Linked DNA regions of Bombyx mori. The protein of the gene in region 1 purifies or fractionates together with the protein of each later gene. This does not show direct contact. Links are inferred from orthologs where the notes say so. Each region holds a gene or a part of one and is shown in the gene's direction. Other genes may lie near its edges.

Region 1 (3,844 bases):
CTAAATTTTAATTTTTTTATTGCTTAGATGCGTGGTCGAGCTCACAGCCCACCTGGTGTTAAGTGGTTACTGGAGCCCATAGACATCCACAACGTAAATGCGCCACCCACCTTGAGATATAAGTTCTAAGGTCTCAAGTATAGTTACGACGGCTGCCCCACCCTTCAAACCGAAACGCATTACTGCTTCACGGCAGAAATGGGCAGGGGGTGGTACCCACCCGCGCGGACTCACAAGAGGTCCTACCACCAGTAATTACGCAAATTATAATTTTGCGGGTTTCATTTTCATTACACGATGTTATTCCTTCACCGTGGAAGTCAATCGTGAACATTTGTTATATTATATTGTAATTTAATTATATTGTAATGTACTTATTCAAGGGGAAGATGGAGACATAATGGAACGACCCCAAACAAATATAACTGGCTTTACAATATTTGATGAGCAAGGACATTTGTGTCCAATTGATGGTGGTTTGGTAGAAAACGATGTTCGAATTTATATGTCTGGATATTTAAAGTCAATTTGCTCTGATTCATCAGAGATTGACGAAGAATCCATTCCAGTTAAAGATGTAGGTCCTATAATAGAATGGTATGTATCTCACTTATCATGACCACATAAAAAAAATCTTTTTGTTTGTTTGTTATTTTTTGTGAATTATTAATCTTCTAATTTACATACCATCAGGTTCATACATGGTTTCGATGGTGGAGATAGGAACTGTATAACTTTATCAACGGAATTTGGGGAATATAACTTGCTCAAACCTAGTGAAGCTTATACGCCCCTAATGAATAATTTATATGAAAAAATATGGCTTAGCAAAGTAGTCGTCGAATTCTTAGAAGAATATCACTACTTGCAACCGAGCTATGAAGATTTACTTGAAGTTGTAAGAGATTTTTCCATTCCTGAACTAAATAATAAAAAGATGACAGAAGAAATGCTACATAAACATGCCCAGTTTGTTTGTGATCAAGTAGTTAGCTTAGAAATAGAGGAAGATGATGAACCATTAATAACATTACCTTGTATGAGAGAACTTATCAAATTAATGGGCATAAAATTCGGTAAACGAAAAATACGTACCCAGATACAATACAAAAAAACAGATAAGAAAGCATGGACAAAAGCTACAACAACTCCACTTGTAAGAAAAACATTTGAAAGTTTTTTCTCAAATCAGTTAGACAAAACCAATCACGAACTGGTCTTACGAAGAAAACGATGCGGGGTTTGTGAAGCCTGTCAATTGCCTGATTGCGGCGAATGTAATGCATGTCGTGCCATGGCTAAATTCGGTGGTCATGGAAGAACTAAGAAAGCATGCGTCCGTAGATTATGTCCTAATATGGCAGTAGAACAGGCAGAAGATTCTGATCCCGATGATGAAGATGAGTATCAGCAAATATCTGAGAAAAAACAAGACAAAATAGATGATGCAGTACCAGTCAAGCTCACTGGGTCAAATAGTAAAAATTTAAAATGGATTGGTGAGCCTGTTAAAGCTGATGCCACAAAAATATATTACGAAAAAGTTGAAATTGATGGTGCTGAGCTGTGTAATGGTGACTTTGTCATGATTGAAACTTCCCAAACAAACATTCCTACACTGGTCGCTAAAGTTGTATACATGTGGAAAGAAATCCATAACCCGAAATCAGGCTATTTTCACGGAGAAGTCTTCATACGAGCCTCGGACACAGTTTTAGGAGAAGTGAGTGACCCAAGAGAAGTATTTTTGGGCGACAGATGTTGCCATGGTGCTCCGCTTTCTTCCATATTAAGAAAAGCGAATATAGAAAGGAAAGAGACGTCAGCAGATTGGTTTAAACTTGGCGGGAAAGAAGTAGACGACGAACATTTCGAGGATGATGGAAGAACTTATTTTTATAGCAAGTATTACGACAGGTTCACGTCGCGTTTTGAAGATTTACCTCCAGATCCAGCGTGTCCAAATGCTTTAAGAAAGCACAGATTCTGCCCATCTTGTGAACGTAAAACAAAACGAGATGCAAGAAACATTCCTAAAGTTTTTGAAAAATTGATTGTGAAATCCGAAATTGTTTCAGAACAAAACAGGTCGGAATGGTCATATGTAAAATGGCAAGACTTTGACTATAAGAAGGGTTGTGGTGTTTTCCTAAAACCGGGAACCTTTAAACTAAAAAATAGTATGACAAAAGCGAACACTGTTGCCAAACCGCGGTTTGAAAAAGTCGATGAAACTATTTATCCTGAATATTATAGGAAGAACGATTCTAATACGCGTGGGTCTAATATTGATACCGGGGAACCTTTTTGTGTGGGTTACATAGCTGCCGTCACTGCCGCGAGTGAGGGACCTCTAGTTGTACCGCAAGATATTTACCTGAAAGTGAATGTGCTGCTTAGACCTGAAAACACGAGCAGTAAATTTCCGCAGCACGAGGACACTAATGTTTTATATTGGACAACTGAAATAAGGGAGATTCCATTTTCGACCGTCGTTGGGCATTGTCATTTAATTTATGAACAAAATGTTCCCCAAAATATTTCACTTCAAGAATGGTTAGGAAATGATCCGTGCAGATTCTACTTCAGAATGGCGTATTGTAAGTCCACGGGAGAGTTCACGGATCTCCCGCAGAATGCCATCAGTGTTGGAAGAACAGATCGTACTAAAGATAAAGGGAAGGGGAAGGGAAAATCTACAAAAACTATTGAAACGGTTCCCGCTAAAGTTGTAGAGGAGAAAATTAGACCGTTGCGAACTTTAGACGTGTTTGCCGGTTGTGGGGGCCTATCAGAAGGCTTGCATCAAGCTGGAGTTGCAGAATGCAAGTGGGCTATTGAAAACGTGGAAGCTGCTTCTCATGCTTATTCATTAAATAATAAAAGTTGTATTGTATTTAATGAAGACTGTAATGCACTTTTGAAAACTGTAATGTCTGGTGCTAAGCACAGCGCGAATGGACTGCGGCTCCCCATGCAAGGAGAAGTGGAGCTTTTATGTGGCGGGCCACCATGTCAAGGCTTCTCCGGAATGAATCGTTTTAATTCAAGAGAGTATTCAAACTTCAAAAACTCATTAGTTGCATCGTATTTATCGTTTTGTGATTATTACAGACCTAAATATTTTATACTGGAAAACGTTCGTAACTTTGTGGCCTTTAAAAAAGGTATGGTTTTGAAACTCACTCTGCGAGCTTTGTTGGACATGGGATACCAGTGTACCTTTGGTATCTTACAAGCGGGTAACTACGGAGTTCCCCAAACTAGACGAAGGTTGATCATATTGGCGGCAGCGCCGGGTTACAATCTTCCGTTCTACCCAGAACCCACGCACGTCTTCAGTAGACGTGCTTGTACATTAACAACGACGATTGACGGCAAAAGGTTCTCGACTAATATTCACTGGGACGAGTCGGCTCCAAAAAGAACGTGCACCATTCAAGACGCCATGAGTGATTTGCCTCAAATATGTAATGGTGCTAATAAAATAGAAATCGAATATGGCTCCATGCCAGAAAGTCATTTCCAGAGATTAGTGCGAAGCAACGATGAGAATTCTAAACTACGAGATCACATCTGTAAAAACATGGCGCCATTGATTCAAGCTAGGATCAGCAGGATACCTACAACACCGGGCTCCGACTGGAGAGATCTACCCAACATATCGGTTACTCTCTCCGATGGCACTAAGTGCAAGGTATTTTTTTTTTATTGCATGTATGGGTGGACGATCTCACAGACCAACTGCTATTATGTGGTTACCGGAGCCCATAGACATCTACAACGTAAATGCCGACACCAACTTGAGATATGAGTTCTAAGGTCTCAGTCTAGTTATAACAGC
Region 2 (3,844 bases), on another chromosome or scaffold:
TGGCGGCCGCGCGTGGGGTGCCGCTGTCCCGCTCCGCCACGCACGAGTGGCTGCTGCTCACGCCCAAGGACCGCATGCCCGTGCCCGACCACGTCGCCTTCCCCAAACCGCCCAAGGCACCAGGTCAGTGCGCTTCCAACCCTCCAATACATCTTTAACATAACTTGCCTTTAACTAAAATTAACAGCGTATATGGATACGCTGCGTTACTTAATGAATAAATAACACCTTTCCTCAAAGAATTTAAGAATCACTACGAAAAACCGTGGTACTATTTGCCAAATTCAAATGATTATTAATGAAATGTTTTTTATGATTAAATTGATTTTTTTTTGTAGTCGTTGGCTCTTTGGAAGATCTGTGTCATAGTGCCTTCAACGCACGACATTGTATCATATTTACCTAAGCAAAGTTTCAGTAGTAATTTATAAAATCGGTTAGTGAGATTTACGTTTACGTCATATAAAATCTAATAAAAGGTAGTCTAGAGTCTAAAGTAGTTTAGAAGTGAGGTCGTGACGCGTGCGTGTGCGTTACAGACGGCAGCCTGCTGTACGAGCGCGTGCTGTCCCGCGGCGAGCTGGAGGCGCGCCGGGCCGAGCCCGCGCCGCCGCTCAAGCGCCGCGCCTACGACGACATCAACGGACTCGACAGTCAGTACCGCCCCGCACTCGATCACTTACCACCCGCATAAAACACGTTGACTGCCGTGTAGGTCATCGGTGCCCTACGCGGCGCATTGAAGTAATTTTTTTTTACAAGCGGCTCGCTCCGGCTCCGCTCTGATCTTTAACAAAAATTTCAACGATATTTGACGTTGTTTTATTCTTAAAAATAAAATAACACTTATTGCGGCATAACTAGTAACTAATAGTTAGACATATGCAGTCGCGACACTTTTTTGTAAATAATAATGTTTTCTACAAAGTCGTAGTACATCAATAGTTTTCGCAGGGCACGCGATGGAACATTTTAGGTAATATTTTTACACCTTGGGTAACATTATTGGAGTTTTAGTAAGGATCCATTTTTTTTCTTTCAAAAAATACTATAGCCTATGTCACTCGGGAATAGTTTAGCTTCCAAACAGTGAAAAAATTTTTCAAATCGATTCAGTAGTTTCGAAGCCTACTCAATACAAACAAACAAATCTTTCCTCTTTATAATATTAGTATAGATTGCCCTTGTAGGCAGACAACCATACGGCCCATCTGATGGTGAGTGGTTACCGTCGCCCATGGAATTCAGCATTGCCAGGGGTGCCTACCGTTAAGTACTCTCTCCACAAGCCTCGTTTGAAGAAGGATATGTCATAGCGCTCGGGAGACACCGTGGAGGGAAGCTCATGGTTTATCGATTATATCGATTTCTCTCTTCGATCACCTTACTAATACACGGAATATATAGTATACTGAAAAAAAAACCGGTAGATACTCAGAATGAATTCTCTATTTCTAAGAGACTTAAAAGACTAAAACATACATTAACAAACAAAAGAACTTAGTAGAACTTAGTAACAGAATTCGATATAATTACTTCAGTGCGCCGCGTAGGGCACCAATGACCTACATGGCAGTCAACGTGTTAACTTATATTCAAACGACCAACGAATTATATCATATAAAAAAAGATTTAATATTTTCGCAAGTTAATTAAGCTTTTAATTAAATAGATAATATTGTATTTAGAACAATGAGTAATAAATGTATAATTTGTTAAATGCTTACCTTTACGGAAACAGCAACAACACCAGGTTAGTAAATGAGAATTATAAAAATAAATAAATGTGGGGAAAAAGTAAATGTTATGAATTTCATAAGTTTATGGAAAATGTAGTGTGAGGTCTTTGGTGTTGTGAGGGTTTGTGTGCGTTGGTCGAGTTGTCCTCCGGAAATCTCGTCACAGTGGTCAATAAAACACTGAGTATGTTTATGTTATTCGCATCAGCGACCGCGTCGGATCGCTGCCCGTTAACCACTGACGTGTATAGCTTATTACTATTACTTTTACTGCATTGTAGGCTTAAGCGGGGCGGAGTATCACTCCCCAACACTAGGAAACAAAACTATCAAAACGTTATGTGACTGCATAGCTAAGGAATCACAATACCCTTGAGCTTTAATTGTTTCGGAAACCATAGGAAAAGTCCTTTCAAAAACCTTCCATTTCGTAAAGTCAAAATCTCAAAAGATCATTCTGGCCCAGAATGTCACATAGGAGATTTCAAATTTGCAACAACGATGTGTGATTTGTTAAATTTATATTTTTTATTTTTTTATTGTCCCTGTAGGCAGCCGAGCATACGGCCCACCTGAATGGTTACCGTCACCCATGGACTTCACCTACCGTTGAATGTTCGTACTGTACCTTCGACAGTTGAATGTTTTCCATTGTTCTTGTTACAATTGTACATATATGTATGATGCGGTTGTCGCAGGAGTGGGCGAGCGGTCGCGCGAGACGCTGGCGCCGCCCGCCAAGCGCCCCAACAAGCACCCGGCGCCCATGCAGCGGCCCTCGCGCGAGCAGTACGCCGCCATGTGCGCGCGCGCGCAGGCCACCGGACAGCCGCTGCCGCCGCACGTCTTCGCGCACGTACGTACCGCTCACTCTCCTCACTCCTACTCATGCGAACCACTGCTCTTGCTAGCCCTAGTATATATTTTATAAGGAATTTTATGACCTGGTAACTAAGACCTTTAAGTCATGTCTTATTTTAATTTATATTCTTAATTTTATTAAAAATGATAATATGGAGTGAAATGAAATGAAATGAAAATGATTAATTTGGGAGATTAATGAACTGGGATGAAATTAAATAAAACGAAATGACAGGGGATGAAATATAATCTCAGTAAAATAGTGGTATTTTACTGAGATTTTTCAGTGGACTTTTTGGAGGATCCCGAGAAGTTACGTCCAGCAGCTTTGTTTCATTTTCCCACATTTGTGCACAGATATCAAACAGTTAATAAACCACCGTTATTACACATTTAAACCTGAAGAAACACTAAATAGACAAAATAAAACAAATCACACAACTTCACTCCTCGCGTTCCCGCCAAAAAGTTCGCTAAGGCTAGTGTTAGCAAGGCCCCTCAGATTGAGCGCCTTGAGCTCACCTGGAGCGTAGCTGGAATAGGCTCTTAAGCTACCAGCGAATAGGTACGAGAAAAATGCACTAATCGACTGAACTTTTTGTACCAGATAGTAACGATTCATCCCAATATACAATTTGTTTTATTATTCGCGAGTTACTAATTTAGCATGCCTAAATTAACGATTTCAATTAATAATTTAGAATATAGAAAAACATATTAGATTTGAATTATGTTGACCTTGTTTTCTAGAAGATTGTCCTGTAACTTATAACAACCGCTTTTAATATTAATAAAAAAAAATTTAATAATAAATAAAAAGATAGATTTGAGTTAATAATAAATGTACGTGTTAGGTAAATGGCAAACCGACAAACATCACAGGACGCGGCGGCCGCCGACACGTGATCTCGTGGATGGACGCTCCCGACGACCTATACTTCAGAGCCACCGATGCGGCCAAGTGAGTGCTTTCTAATGTTTAACCGTTGTACGTGCTCACCGAGCCTATAGGTACCGTGAGAATCGACATTATGTCATATACGACTCTAACAAAAACGAACGTAAAATGCTGCCAAGTAAAGGTATTAGAGGTAAAATAATGGTAATTGAAAGAAATAGAAGCTCTTTTAAGTTTCAGACCTAAAAATCCATCCTCATTTATTTAGTCAAAGTTTCGACTCAATGTTACATGGCAATGTTACATTTTACTAAGAATGTACCTAAGACGTGAGACGCGAGTGGCG

The links.
Region 2: the proteins of Dnmt1 (region 1) and metastasis-associated protein MTA3 purify together in Homo sapiens (affinity purification with western blotting; 4 studies listed by BioGRID and IntAct, with this or other methods). This does not show direct contact. The link is inferred for Bombyx mori from reciprocal best matches to the Homo sapiens genes DNMT1 and MTA1.

The regions. Positions count from the first base shown.
Region 1 is NC_085114.1:6,734,938-6,738,781, reverse strand, and holds part of Dnmt1 (DNA cytosine-5 methyltransferase), read left to right. Parts: intron 1-383; coding exon 384-597; intron 598-693; coding exon 694-3,697; intron 3,698-3,844. UniProt on the Homo sapiens protein: Methylates CpG residues. Preferentially methylates hemimethylated DNA. Associates with DNA replication sites in S phase maintaining the methylation pattern in the newly synthesized strand, that is essential for epigenetic inheritance.
Region 2 is NC_085131.1:3,871,084-3,874,927, forward strand, and holds part of metastasis-associated protein MTA3, read left to right. Parts: coding exon 1-123; intron 124-539; coding exon 540-653; intron 654-2,437; coding exon 2,438-2,595; intron 2,596-3,454; coding exon 3,455-3,561; intron 3,562-3,844. UniProt on the Homo sapiens protein: Transcriptional coregulator which can act as both a transcriptional corepressor and coactivator. Acts as a component of the histone deacetylase NuRD complex which participates in the remodeling of chromatin.